Linked DNA regions of Oryctolagus cuniculus. The protein of the gene in region 1 interacts with the protein of each later gene in a biochemical or structural test. Links are inferred from orthologs where the notes say so. Each region holds a gene or a part of one and is shown on either strand. Other genes may lie near its edges.

The links.
Region 2: the proteins of TLN1 (region 1) and ITGB1 form a complex in vitro, tested with the Homo sapiens proteins (3 studies listed by BioGRID and IntAct, with this or other methods). The link is inferred for Oryctolagus cuniculus from reciprocal best matches to the Homo sapiens genes TLN1 and ITGB1.

What each region holds. Positions count from the first base shown.
Region 1 is NC_091432.1:198,629,358-198,636,356, reverse strand, and holds part of TLN1 (talin-1), read left to right. Parts: intron 1-1,137; 5' UTR 1,138-1,170; coding exon 1,171-1,300; intron 1,301-1,539; coding exon 1,540-1,637; intron 1,638-1,838; coding exon 1,839-1,968; intron 1,969-2,047; coding exon 2,048-2,200; intron 2,201-2,730; coding exon 2,731-2,873; intron 2,874-2,976; coding exon 2,977-3,104; intron 3,105-3,792; coding exon 3,793-3,853; intron 3,854-4,466; coding exon 4,467-4,571; intron 4,572-4,875; coding exon 4,876-5,031; intron 5,032-6,506; coding exon 6,507-6,608; intron 6,609-6,764; coding exon 6,765-6,841; intron 6,842-6,999. UniProt on the Homo sapiens protein: High molecular weight cytoskeletal protein concentrated at regions of cell-matrix and cell-cell contacts. Involved in connections of major cytoskeletal structures to the plasma membrane.
Region 2 is NC_091444.1:108,927,100-108,934,098, forward strand, and holds part of ITGB1 (integrin beta-1), read left to right. Parts: intron 1-16; coding exon 17-106; intron 107-1,881; coding exon 1,882-2,022; intron 2,023-2,159; coding exon 2,160-2,359; intron 2,360-3,646; coding exon 3,647-3,885; intron 3,886-4,069; coding exon 4,070-4,292; intron 4,293-5,527; coding exon 5,528-5,760; intron 5,761-6,999.

The DNA.
Region 1 (6,999 bases):
GAACTGCTCATTTTGTTAATTAAGAAGCATCCAATCCCCATAAACCAAGCTGGGTCACATCAGTAGCAGCCAGGCAGACTTGTCCTTCAGTGGCCTGGGCGCCACCTGCTGCTTCCAGTGGCTCCTCCAGCCTGCTAAGGGGTGGTACTGGGAGGGTGGAAGAAGGCGGGGCAAGGCTGTAATCCTGAGTTACAGTGAGAATACTGTCAGGGGAGGCAGCTCACTTGGGGGGCAGAGTCTGAAAAGGACTCAGGGAGTAGGAGAGAGCATAGAATGAGTTGTGCTGAGTATTAAATATGAACTTGGTAACTTGGAGAGAGTGGGGACTGAGACAAGAGGACTGGGCTGTTTCTCTGACCTTCCTTCGAGTCTTTCCTGTCCTCCTAGGATCTGTTTCCTCTTCTGCAAAACTGAAGAGTTCACCAGATAATTTTTGAGATCCCTTTGGAACAGAGAATCATAATTCTAGCTTGACTGCCAGGGAAGCCAAATATAGGATCTGGCTCCCTAGGGAGGCCCCCAGTATTCAGGTTAGAGGGAAGATGGGGCCAGAGAAGGCCTGGATGGCTGGAACAGCCAGCATTCGGTCTGCTGCCAGGCTGGCTAGAGTCTGCAGGCCTCCAGAGCCCTTGGGAATGATCTCATATAACGTCTTCATGTTGCAGAGAAGGAAGCTGTGAGAGGGAAGGTCATGTGATGAGCTGAGACAGGGCTCTGAAAATCCCACACTAGGGAGGGTGCAGTGCATCCATGGGGAGGCAAAGAGAAAAATACTGGACTGGGAAACATGAAAACAAGGCAGGGGCAGGCTGGGAAAGGAAGTAAGCAGGGTCAGGGGGCAAAATGGGCCCTTGAAAGAAAGACAGGTGGCCCAGATTCCCCTGGAGAGGGCAGGGCGGTGTCCTCGGGTGACCCCGCGTTTCAGACCTGCCCTTACACTTCGTGTCCCAGTCTCTCCCTCGGAGGTCTTCAGTGGTCAGGGCTGGTCCTTCTGATGTAAATTACTGTTTCCTCTTTAAAATTATAAGATAGAGACAGCCTTATTACTGTCAGCTCTGGTGAATCCCTGAGTCTCCACCACCTGGGGGCCTCTTCTCCGAGGAGAGTCTATTCTAATAGCCTGACACCACGGGCCAGGTGTAGCCAGGCCGCAGAGGAGACACCGCCACCATGGTCGCGCTTTCGCTGAAGATCAGCATCGGGAATGTGGTGAAGACGATGCAGTTTGAGCCGTCTACCATGGTGTACGACGCCTGCCGCATGATTCGGGAGCGGATCCCGGAGGCGCTGGTCGGCCCTCGTGAGTCCCACTCCCTGGGGGGCTGGTGCGGAAGTCCTCAGTCCAGTCTTATCCCCAGGCCCTCAGCCTTAGGGAGTGACCCCGCTGTGGCCGAGGGCTCCTCACACCTTGGGTCACTGCGCCCCACTCCCTCCTTTTTTAGGCCTGAGACCGCGGGAGAAATTGTAAGAGGTGGTGGTGCGGCCATCCAGTCCCAGTGGGGCCTCCGTCAGTCTGAGGTCACCCATCTTTTCTTTTAGCCAGCGACTTCGGGCTGTTTCTGTCGGATGATGACCCCAAAAAGGGCATATGGCTGGAGGCCGGAAAGGCTTTGGATTACTACATGCTCCGGAACGGGGTGAGTACCACCTCAGCAGGGACCGCCTCCGGCTTTCAGCACCCGCGTGTCGCCCCTGTCCCCCGCTCGTGCTAGTTTCCTATCATAGGGAGCCATAAGACCCCGGTTTTGAATGAGCCACCATAGTCTGTCTTATAAGAATCTCCTTCCTCCACTCTGGCCAAGTAGAAAGGAACGAATGCCCCTTTCCTCTCCTGACAGGACACCATGGAGTACAGGAAGAAACAGAGACCCCTGAAGATCCGGATGCTAGACGGGACTGTGAAGACCATCATGGTGGATGACTCCAAAACGGTCACCGACATGCTCATGACCATCTGTGCCCGCATCGGTAAGGGGCTGGGCTGGGGCGGGGGTGCTGCGACTTGGCCAGGAGACTGGGGAGCTATGAAACCAGTCCCTTCCCCCAGGCATCACCAACCATGACGAGTATTCACTGGTCCGAGAACTGATGGAAGAGAAAAAGGAAGAGGTGACAGGGACCCTACGAAAGGACAAGACACTGCTGCGAGATGAAAAGAAGATGGAGAAACTGAAGCAGAAATTGCACACCGACGACGAGTGTAAGCAGAACCGGAAGAGAGGGCATTGGAGAGGCATTGGAAAGGCAGCTGTTGATTATTTATTCAGTGTCCACTTTTGTAAGGCACTGTGTTACGCTGGGGATACAGCAATGCTAGCGTTGTGGCCCAGAGGGTTAAGCCGCCAGTTGGGTTGCCAGCATACTGTAACAGAGTGCCAGTTCATGTCCTGGCTGCTCCACTTACGATCCAGTTTTTGCTAATGCAACTGGGAACGCAGTGGCTGATGCCCAAGTACTTGGGTCTCTGCCACCCTTATGGGAGACCCAGATGGAGTTCCAGGCACCTGGCTTTGGCCTGGCCCAGCTCCAGCTGTTGCAAGCATTTGGGGAGTGAACCAGCAGATGGAAGATCTCTCTCTCTCTCTCCCTCCCTCTCTTTGCCTGTCACTCAGCCTTTCAGATAAATAAAATTCCATGGCAGGGGGAGATGAGGGAAGATGGAAAATGAAGGAGTAAACAGGACAGCCAGGGGCCATGGGTTGAGCACTGAGAGGCCTGTCTGTGTCCCAGTGAACTGGCTGGACCACGGCCGGACGCTCAGGGAGCAGGGGGTGGAGGAGCACGAGACGCTGCTGCTGCGGAGGAAGTTCTTCTACTCGGACCAGAACGTGGATTCTCGCGACCCTGTCCAGCTGAACCTTCTTTACGTGCAGGTCTGGTGGAGGCTTGGCTGGGGGCAGCAGGGGCTGCGGAAGCACAGTGGGGGTGTCCCTTCACCCACAGCCTGCATTCGCCCCATCCCCTTGTGCTCTGCAGGCGCGAGATGACATCTTGAACGGCTCCCATCCTGTCTCCTTCGACAAGGCCTGTGAGTTCGCCGGCTTCCAGTGCCAGATCCAGTTTGGGCCCCACAATGAGCAGAAGCACAAAGCTGGCTTCCTTGAGTGAGTGACCCACATCGCATATGCTGTCTGGGCCCGGGAATCCCTGTCTCCACCCTCTCCATTTCCTCTTCTGAGGGGTGCCAGGGTTTGACCCACCTGGGGACCTTCTTAGCTGCCGTCATCCATTTGTCTCTGCACTGGCCCCGTGTGGAATCCAAATGTAGCCCAGTGTCTCTGCCCTGGCCCTTCCCCCTGAAGCAAGCATGTAGCTGTTTTGAGATTCTCTGAAAAATTTTGTTGGAATAGCCTAAAGAAAACAGGATAAAATTTTCCTTGTAGAGGTCTTCCTATTAGAAGTTCTTACACACCTCATCCACTGGTATTTCTTGGAATGCATAGAGTTTGGTGTGGCTTTCTCAGCATCCTAAATCTATGATGATCCCTTTAGAGTGCTTTCTCATCTGGTTCCCTGAAGTGGTGTTCTAGATCCTCTTTCCCTCGGGGACTGAGCCTCCAACTTAAAGTTCTATCAGTCCCTTCCTTGCAGGGAGGGACACAGCCCCATTCAAGGGCTCATGCTAAGTCATTCTGCCTCAGAAGACAACCAGGCTCAGGTCCCTTGCTGTCTTCCTTCTCCCTAAAGATAGCACTGGCCTAGACATTTCCTCACACCCCTAGGCCCACAGTTCATGGCCCACATGCCCCTGATGCTGTCCACCACATGCTGACCCTCCCTTTTCTGGTGTAGCCTGAAGGACTTCCTGCCCAAGGAGTATGTGAAGCAGAAGGGAGAGCGTAAGATCTTCCAGGTGAATGGGGGTAGGGGAAAGTGGGGTGACCTGGGAGCTTTGCTGCTTAATCCTACTAAGTGGATCCTTGCCCCCCACCTCTCCTTCCCCTGCTTCTACCCACCACGCTGCTCTTCTGCCTCTCCCTTGCCAAGAAAGCAAAAGACTTGGACCTGTGGTCTCGGCTCCATGGCTGTTTGCCGTGGCATTCAATCCAGTGTTCTTGTTTTCTTTGCCTCTAACATGGGATAACAGTGCCTGCCCTGCATAGGATTGCTAGGAGAATCAGATGAGATAGTGTACCTGCAATTGTTGGGAAAGCCTAATCCTTGTTCCTACGTAAGGTGTATACTCCGCCCAAAAGGCTCTCTCTTTGACCTTCCATTTCCTAACTGTCCATTCACATCTCTGGAATGTTTGCAAGTTCCTTAACCGTATCCCTTGTATCATTGCTTGTGCGTATCCCTGGTGAGCCCCCGTCCTGTTCCCCTCTCATTTCTCATGTCATGTGTCCCAATGTAACTTTTTTTGTGTCCCCATAATACTCTCCCATTAGAGTTAACTTCCCACTTCAATCCTAAATTGTGATATTATGCCCCATGTTGCTAAATTCTTCCCCATTTCATACTTCAAGGCACACAAGAATTGTGGGCAGATGAGTGAAATTGAGGCCAAGGTACGCTATGTGAAGCTAGCCCGTTCCCTCAAGACTTACGGTGTCTCCTTCTTCCTGGTTAAGGTGGGTTACAGCCTCCTCCTCCTGCCCTCCTTGTTTCTGCAAGTCTCTGACTGCCATCTGCCAGGTTTCCCACCATTCTCTTCCTTGCTCTGACTCTGTGAAACCTGCCTGTTGCCCATCCTCTGCTACACTCCTGCCTACCCTGGATTTTTCCTTGTGCCTAGGAAAGCCTTGTCCTGGGCCTATCCACGGACACCCTCACTTAGCCCTCCCGGCCACCTCAGTGTGGTCTAGAGCTTATCTGGTCTTTCACCGCTTCTTGGCCCTCTGATGCGTAACAACCACGCCAACCTCTGCCTCACAGGAAAAGATGAAGGGGAAGAACAAGCTCGTGCCCAGGCTTCTGGGCATCACCAAGGAGTGTGTGATGCGAGTGGATGAGAAGACCAAGGAGGTGATCCAGGAGTGGAACCTCACCAACATCAAGCGCTGGGCCGCCTCTCCTAAGAGCTTCACCCTGGTGAGTCTGGGGGCTCCAGTGAAAAGGGGCTTCAGGATTCCCAGAGAAGGGCAGCTGCACTGAGCATGACTCCAGGGAAAGGGGGAACCTAGGAGCTATTGGCGGAGCATGGGGATGAGAGTGGGTGGAGAAGCCGCCTCCCCGCAGGGGAGTGGTGCTCGGTCAGCAAGTGGTAGACCCACTCTTTACAGTCAGCAGAGGGACGGCGTAAGCAGCAAGGGGAGCTCACAGCCATTCTTGGCAGGGTTGGGGGGGAAGGTGATAGAGAAACAAACCCCCATCCTCAGCAACAATTATAGACAGTAGAGTTTTTTCCCATGGCTTTCTATTTTGGGTTATGAGTTGAAAACTAATACCTACTTGATGAAGTGCCCCAATGATGAAAATAGACATGGTAGTAAATGCTATTTTTTCATGTTGGCTGTGATGCCAACCTTCGTGTATGGTCACGTAATAACAAGCATGGATGTCCTCCCAATCTTGCCAGGGAGAAAGTAATGGAGATTTCCTAAGTGACATGTTTGGATTTTTTTTTTTTAAGATTTATTTTATTTTATTTGAAAGGCAGAGTTACTTGGCCGGCGCTGTGGCTCAATAGGCTAATCCTCCACCTAGCAGCGCCAGCACACCGAGTTCTAGTCCTGGTCAGGGTGCCGGATTCTGTCCTGGTTGCTCCTCTTCCTGTCCAGCTCTCTGCTGTGGCCTGGGAGTGCAGTGGAGGATGGCCAAAGTCCTTGGGCCCTGCACCTGCGTGGGAGACCAGGAGAAGCACCTGGCTCCTGGCTTCAGATCAGCATGGTGCACCGGCCATAGCGGCCATTGGAGGGTGAACCAATGGAAAAGGAAGACCTTTCTCTCTGTCTCTCTCTCTCTCACTGTCTACTCTGCCTGTCAAAAAAGAAAGAAAGGAAGGAAGGAAGGAAGGAAGGAAGGAAGGAAGGAAGGCAGGCAGGAAGGCAGAGTTACAGAGAGACAGAGCAGTGAGAGAGAGGTCTTCCATCACTGGTTCACTCCCCAAATGGCCACAATAGCCGGTGCTGAGCTGATCAGGAGCCAGGAGCTTCTTCCGAGTCTCCCATGCGGGTGCAGGGGCCCACGGACTTGGGCCATCTTCCACTGCTTTCTCAGGCCATAACCAAGAGCTGGATCGGCAATGGAGCAGCGGGGACTCGAACCAGCGCCCATATGGGATGCTTGCACTGCAGGAGGCAGCTTTAACCACTACACCATGGCACTGGCTCCTGTGACATGTATTTAAAACTATATAACGTAAAGGCCATTCCTCAGAAATAAAATATTTCCCTCTAAGGAAGAAAATAAAAATAATAGGTCTGAGAAAGATGGGTTTCCTGCTAGGGGGCTGTTGGCATGGGAAGACTCCCCTCCATGAGCTTGACCTTGGGTCTCCCGTCCTACTCATTTCCATCCTGGGTGGACTCAAGCTCTCCCCTCTAAGCCCCCATCTTGTCACCTAGGATTTCGGGGATTACCAGGATGGCTACTACTCAGTACAGACCACTGAGGGTGAGCAGATTGCACAGCTCATCGCCGGCTACATTGATATCATCCTGAAGAAGGTGAGCCCGGCCTGCCCTAGGCTGTCTTGCTCTCCCTTAACCTTCTCCCCAAGCCAGCCCCTTAGAAAATGCTGAATGGGGAGAAAAGAGGTTACCTTGTCCCCACCTGCCTCTTTGACTGTTCCAACTCTTGTTCTTTTTTTCTTCTTCCTTCAGAAAAAAAGCAAGGATCACTTTGGGCTGGAGGGAGACGAGGAGTCTACTATGCTGGAGGACTCTGTGTCCCCCAAAAAGTATGAAGGGAGTCGGGCTGACCCAGTCCTGTAGGAGTAGGAAAGGCAAGGCTGAGCCCAAGGACGGTGCGGGGCAGGGGGTTGGGAGTCCCTTGGCTGCTGCTTTACCCAACCACAGCCTGTAATGAGATGTAGGGCCCCTACAGAGGTGGTGTGAG
Region 2 (6,999 bases), on another chromosome or scaffold:
TGTCTTTTAATTGCAGGAACTGAAAAACTTGATCCCTAAGTCAGCAGTGGGAACGTTGTCTGCAAACTCCAGCAATGTCATCCAGCTGATCATTGATGCCTACAACGTGAGTGCCTGTGGATCAGAGCAGCTCTGACAGTGCCCTGTGAGGGTGAAACTCCTTAGAACACAGGCTGGGAAGCCCAGAGGATAACACACAACTTATGTGCTGTATCTGGGGGAAAACTTGATATTGTCTCAGAGAAGCATAGTCTAAACAAAGCAAAAACGTGACAGAGCCATGTGGGAAAACCTCAAGTCTGTACATCACCAAGTGAGATGTCCCTGTGGGGAAACAAAGCAGGTGTGATGTGTAACTGACGTCTGATCTGTAGGGGCCCAGCCATCCTCTCCCTCCAAAGTGTTCTTTATAGATTCTTCTATTTTGGTGAATTGTGGTAGAAAAGCTTTTCGGCTGTTTCTTTCCTTCCACACATTCAGAGAACATGTTTTCTGTTTTTAGGGGGGAGTACACACATTCATCGCTACATACAGCATAGAATGCGTAAACTGTAAACATGTACTTGTCTGCAGCTTGATTATTTTAACAGGCTTATAGGATTGTTTTTTCTGCACATGTGCAGGTGAGGTGAAGTCAGAGAGGAACTGTGCTCTCTCTAGATCTCAATTCAGAAAACCGTTAATGGCTCTCAGGAAGCACTGCTTAGCAGTGGTTTGGAAATGCACTGTATACTTTCACCCCACTCACCCTTTGGTTGGTTAAATTTTTGATGTTTTTTTGCAGTGGGAGTCTAAAAATGTTTTGGAAAGAGCTGAGTCAGAAAGATGGACTGGGCTTTGTTTTTTAACTTTTTTTTTGAGAGTTTCCATTTGTTGGTTAACACCCTTAATACCCATAAGGGCTCGGGGGCCAAAGCTGGGGCTGGAAACTCAATCCAGGTCTCCCATGTTGGTGGCAGGAACCCAGCGACTTCAGTCATTACTGCTGTCTCCTAGAGTTGGAATCAGGAACTGGCCAGCTGGCAGTCAAACCCAGGCATGTGGTGTGGGTCGTGGGCATCCTAGTTAGTGTTGTAACCAGTAGGGCGGATGCCACCCAGCAACTTTGAAGATTCCAGTAGTTCCTTTGTCTTCCCCCAGCTGTTTTTTCTCAACAGACTGTTTTCCCAACTTTGATCTTTATTAAGAGTGTGAGCAACAGGTAGTTTGCTACTGCAGCCCTCATTGTTCTGAGAGGTCGGAGTTTTTACAAAATGTTCGTTTATATACAGACAGAACTCCCATCTACTGGTTCACTCCCCAGATGTCCACAAGGCTGGGACTGTGCTGGGCTGAAGCTGGGAGCAGAGAACTCGGTGTCCCACATGGTTGGCAGGAAGCTAGCACTGCCGCACACCTGGGTCTGCATTGGCAGGAGGTTGGAATCAGAAGCCAGAGGCCATCCTCAAACCCACTTGTAGGGTGTGGGCATCATTATTAACCTCTAGGCTGACTGCCCGCACTAGCTTGAGTCTTTCCCCCTTAAGAGTTTTTAGTCTTTGCTGGCCAGGCTTACAGTGGCTTCCAAGCACAGTCGCTCCCAGACTGCGCAGTAGAGTGCCTTGGCCATAGTGAGTTGAGGACCTGGAGACTTTGCCCAGGGGGTAAGGAACACACTCCTCCTCGTCAGTATCAGGCCTTGGGACTGCACGATCCTTGCTGTTTTACCTCGTTGTAGGAACAGAATGCCCTTTCAACCATGTAGGTGGTTCTACAGATGAGACCCTTATTAACCAGTGCCTGTTTGTGTTTTGTAAGACTTTACAATACTGTCTTGACTGGTCATCTTATGCATCCCAGGAGCATTTCAACTTTCTTGTGTATAATTAGTCTTTCTTTTAGTCCCTTTCTTCAGAAGTCATTTTGGAAAACAGCAAATTGCCAGAAGGAGTAACGATAAATTACAAATCTTACTGCAAGAACGGGGTGAATGGCACAGGGGAGAACGGAAGGAAGTGCTCCAATATCTCCATTGGAGATGAGGTATTGCTTATTTATAAGCAAATGCAGTTCATGATTTGAAACATACTAAAAAGAAATGAGTGGGTTTTTGAGATAGTTTTTAGCAGATTCATGTTGCTTAGCTTATTGTTCACTTAATCTTGCTTTTTTCCTTCAAGGTTCACTTTGAAATCAGCATAACTTCAAATCAGTGTCCAGTTAAGCATTCTGAAACCATTAAAATCAAGCCTCTGGGCTTCACCGAGGAGGTGGAGGTGGTCCTTGAGTTCATCTGCAAGTGTGAGTGCCAGGACACAGGCATCCCGAGAAGTCCCCAGTGCCACGATGGGAATGGCACGTTTGAGTGTGGGGCTTGCAGGTGAGCCAGGACTGTTGGAGTGTGCCCAGATGTGCACTGCCTGGAGAGCGAGGGGCAGGCTGTGTGTCAGGACAGCCACAGAAGATCTCCGCTTGGAGCAGAGACATGATTTGTCCCGGGCACTGTTGCTCACCACACGATGAACTTGATGGTCTTGTGTGTGGTATTTACAGAGAGCTCTCTCACCTGTCTCTTAACAAGACTGCTCTTTAAAATGAGACTGCGCAGTCTCTCAAGCTGTGTATCCAGCAAACTGTTACGACAGCACTTGGTTTTTCTGTCGTGAGATAGAAGTGCAGCCTTTGTAGAGCAGAGTAAGTTTATGTAAAATTTTGGAAATAGCATTGAAACATGTTTTTGGAAAAACGTGAAACCGATAGTGGTGGCTTTCTCTGGGAAACAGAATTGGGAAGCCTTCAAGTATGTCCACCTTCCACATTGTTGGAATGATTTCTTAAAAATAAGTATGTGTTGTAAAATTAAAAAGCAAGTTATTTTTCAGAACATAGAATATACTACTAATAACTTTAGTCCAAGTATTTCAAATATTTTCACACTTTGGTTACTTTTTAAATTAAAAATTAAAACTCAGTATATTCCGAACATAGTTTTCTCTTTAAAGGAGACTGGGACATTTGATCTAGATGTCGACTGCAGATGACTGGGCCAGCAGGGTGTTAACCACGAGGAAGACATGTGCCGTCTTCACTGTCAGTGACACCAACTGGCTGTCCTACAGAAGTTCAGATGTTACAGTTCTCTCTTTCCATGTTGTACATACCCTCTTGGAGTCATGCAGATCTGTTTTTAGTGAGACATCATTCAACGAAAATGCCTTGAAAATGCCCTGAAAATGCCATCTCTTTCGTCCCTTTCTGTATATGTAGAATCAGCTTGCAGTGTCCATGAGCATAAGTTGTTCTAGAAATGTACATGGCATCTGAAAAGTCTGGGCCAGTGGGATAAGTTTGTTTTTAAACAGCATACTATATTTTCAGTCAGTGCTCTGTTCATTTTTATTCAGCTTCTTGCTCTTTCTTGCATATGTTTCTTGTACTTTTAAGGTTACAATGGGGCCATAGTTCATGTAGTTACAATTGTAATAGCACATCATTTGAAATTACAGCTACCATATTTACAATTAAGTTTATTCTGTTTCTCCAGATATTTTTCTATTTATTATTTGCAGCATGAAGAGACTGTTCATAGTTTCGTTGCCTCTCCCATGGTTTGCGATTGTAGGTTATTTTTATTTTATGCAAGTGCAATTTTGGAATCTTTGTTCAGGTGCAACGAGGGACGTGTAGGCAGACACTGTGAATGCAGTACAGATGAGGTGAACAGTGAAGACATGGATGCTTACTGCAGGAAAGAAAACAGTTCAGAAATCTGCAGCAACAACGGGGAGTGCGTCTGTGGGCAGTGTGTGTGCAGGAAGAGGGACAACACAAATGAAATCTATTCTGGCAAATTCTGCGAGTGTGATAATTTCAACTGTGATCGCTCCAATGGCTTAATTTGTGGAGGTGAGGAAAGGGTCTGAGATGTGAAGTGATCCCACTGGAGTGACAAAAAGTCTCGAGGAATTAGAGGGCTCAGTCCGTCCCTTGGACCCACTCCTTCCATATTGTGACTCCCTTTTACTTCTGAGTCAGTGCTGTGATTGTATGTTTTTAATCCTAGTTTGTGACATGGTATTTTTAATCGCAGGAAATGGTGTTTGCAAGTGTCGTGTGTGTGAGTGCAATCCTAACTACACCGGCAGTGCGTGCGACTGTTCTCTGGATACGACGTCTTGCATGGCCACAAACGGGCAGATCTGTAATGGCCGGGGTATCTGCGAGTGTGGCGTCTGCAAGTGTACAGATCCCAAGTTTCAAGGGCAAACCTGTGAGATGTGCCAGACCTGCCTGGGTGTCTGTGCGGAGCACAAGTACGTATCTCCTAATTATTTGAAGGCGTTGATGCTTAACTGTGTGTGATCACCAGAACTGGAGCAGGGCCCCTGTTGAGCATGCTATAAATACAGTGTCTGCCATGTGGAAACCCACTCTTTAATTCGTGAAAACTCTTTCTTATTAGCTAGTGCCCGTTACAGGATATTGAAGTGTGTTAGAGTTGTAAGATTATTTTGATTCAAGTTTACTATGTAATTAAATCTATTGTTACCTTTGTTAAATTGCTGAAATACTTTTTTTTTAAAGTTTATTGATTGATTGATTTGAAAGGCAGAGAGAGAGATTGATCTTCCATCTGTTGGTTCACTCTCCAAATGGCCGCAATGGCTGGAGCTGGGCCGATCTGAAGCCAGGAGCCTGGAGCTTCTGGGTCTCCCACGTGGGTGCAGGGGCCCAAGGACTTGGCCATCTTCTACTGCTTTCCCAGGCCACAGCAGAGAGATGGATCTAAGAGGAGCAGCTAGGACTTGAACGGGTGCCAGCACTGCAGGTGGTGGCTTGCTTTACCCACTACGCCATAGTGCTGGCCCCTGATGTACTATCTTCTGACTTGGCCAAATGGCCATAGTGCTGGCCCCTGATGTACTATCTTCTGACTTGGCCAAATGGAAGGCTTTCCCCTTGAAGCATCACTATTGTCCCAGTAACACACTACTTAGGTTACTTTGGTCTTGTGTTACATACTTACTATGTCACAGGGCTAGTTTTATTACCTTTTTTTAATTGCATTTTCAGCTTGAACTTTAATGAATTTATAATTTCATTGGGGAAACTACCAGTCTTTTTAAAAGTTCTTATTAATTTGAGAGAGAGCAACCCAGATGCCCGCAGTGGGTAGGACTAAGCTGTGTTGAACACAGGAACTGGGAATGTTTTCCAAGTCTCAGACATGGGTGACAGGAAGCCACATACTTGGGGCATCATGGCTGCCTGCCAGGGTCGGTGTTGGGAGAAACTGGAGTCAGGATCTGGGGCTGGGAATCAAACTCACCTATTCCAGTGTGGGTGCCTTAACCACTAGGCTAAATGCCCACTCCCAGAGACTGTCATCTTCCGATGTGGTTTCCCATTGAGGAATAGCATGCCTCTGCAGTTCTTTTGTAGCTCCTAGTTGAATTCAGTCACCAGAGTTTAGCACGCAAGGTTAATGTTTAAGAAAATGTTGACCTTTTAAACAGCACATGTGTAATGCAGCGGTTTGTATCCTCAGAGAATGTGTCCAGTGCCGAGCCTTCAATAAAGGAGAAAAGAAAGACAAATGTGCACAGGAATGCTCACATTTCAACATCACCAAGGTGGAAAATCGGGACAAGCTGCCCCAGCCAGGCCAGGTGGACCCCCTGTCCCACTGTAAGGAGAAGGATGTGGACGACTGCTGGTTCTACTTCACGTACTCGGTGAACGGGAACAACGAGGCCATCGTGCACGTCGTGGAGACTCCAGGTCAGGAACCCTGTCCTCGCCTGTGTCCGTCCTGGTTAGGCCTCGTCAGATTCCCTGACACCAAGAAACAGCGTCAGCTGGACTGTCCAGGTCCAAGCTGGGCAATTTCTCATCTCTTACAGCTTAGAGTAGTAGTTAATTAACTGGAGAAGAAGCAGGAGAAGAGAGGGTTTAGGTTTGCTCAGTAGGGAATATGCAGATTAAAAGTGAGAAGTGATACAAGGCATGTAGGACATGCGGGATAAGAGTTATGTCGTCATTGGGGACGTTTAGATTAGAGTTTAATTTGGGCTTGGATACTGAGGAGGATAATTTGTGAAAGGATATAATAAAGTATTGAATTTGTTCAAGGTCTCAGCCAATGGAACATTTTTTATTGGCTTTTCTAGTAGCTTTTTTTAATAGATTCTTGGGAATTTTTCTCATGAGTATGCAGGTTTTTGTGCACACAAGTCCTGTTGCTCTCAAGTAAATGTGGGAATGGGACTTTGGAGCAGGTGGCAAGCCTGTGTTGAACTTGGTGAGAAGCTGCCCAGTGGTTCTGAGGTCAGTGTCCTCTTCTGCATTATCAGACAGCCGCTGGCAAGTGCTGCCCACTGTTGTTCTTCGGCAGTGTCTGTTGAACACCAGAAGTTGGATTGTGACGAATTGTCGACCAAGGTTTTTTTTCCTGGATCTTCTGTTACTGTTGTGTCTAAGAACAGCTTAGGTATTAGATTGTATCTTAGCATGGGGAGTGGCTTCTGTTGGTTGGAAACACTGTCTTTCCCCGCCTTTGTGCATGGGTAGGACTGTTTTTTTGTTGTCTCTGCCTGTGTGCTGGAGCCATGCCATACATTGGTAGCTTTCTATCCAGTCTTTTTTTTTTGACAGGCAGAGTGGACAGTGAGAGAGAGAGACAGAGAGAAAGGTCTTCCTTTGCCGTTGGTTCACCCTCCAATGGCCGCCGCGGCCGGCGTGCTACGGCCGGCGTGCTACGGCCGGCGCACCGCGCTGATCCGATGGCAGGAGCCAGGAGCCAGGTGCTTTTCCTGGTCTCCCATGGGGTGCAGGGCCCAAGCACCTGGGCCATCCTCCACTGCACTCCCTGGCCACAGCAGAGGGCTGGCCTGGAAGAGGGGCAACCGGGACAGAATCCGGCACCCCGACCGGGACTAGAACCCGGTGTGCCGGCGCTGCTAGGCGGAGGATTAGCCTAGTGAGCCGCGGTGCCGGCCTATCCAGCCTTGAAAATAGGTC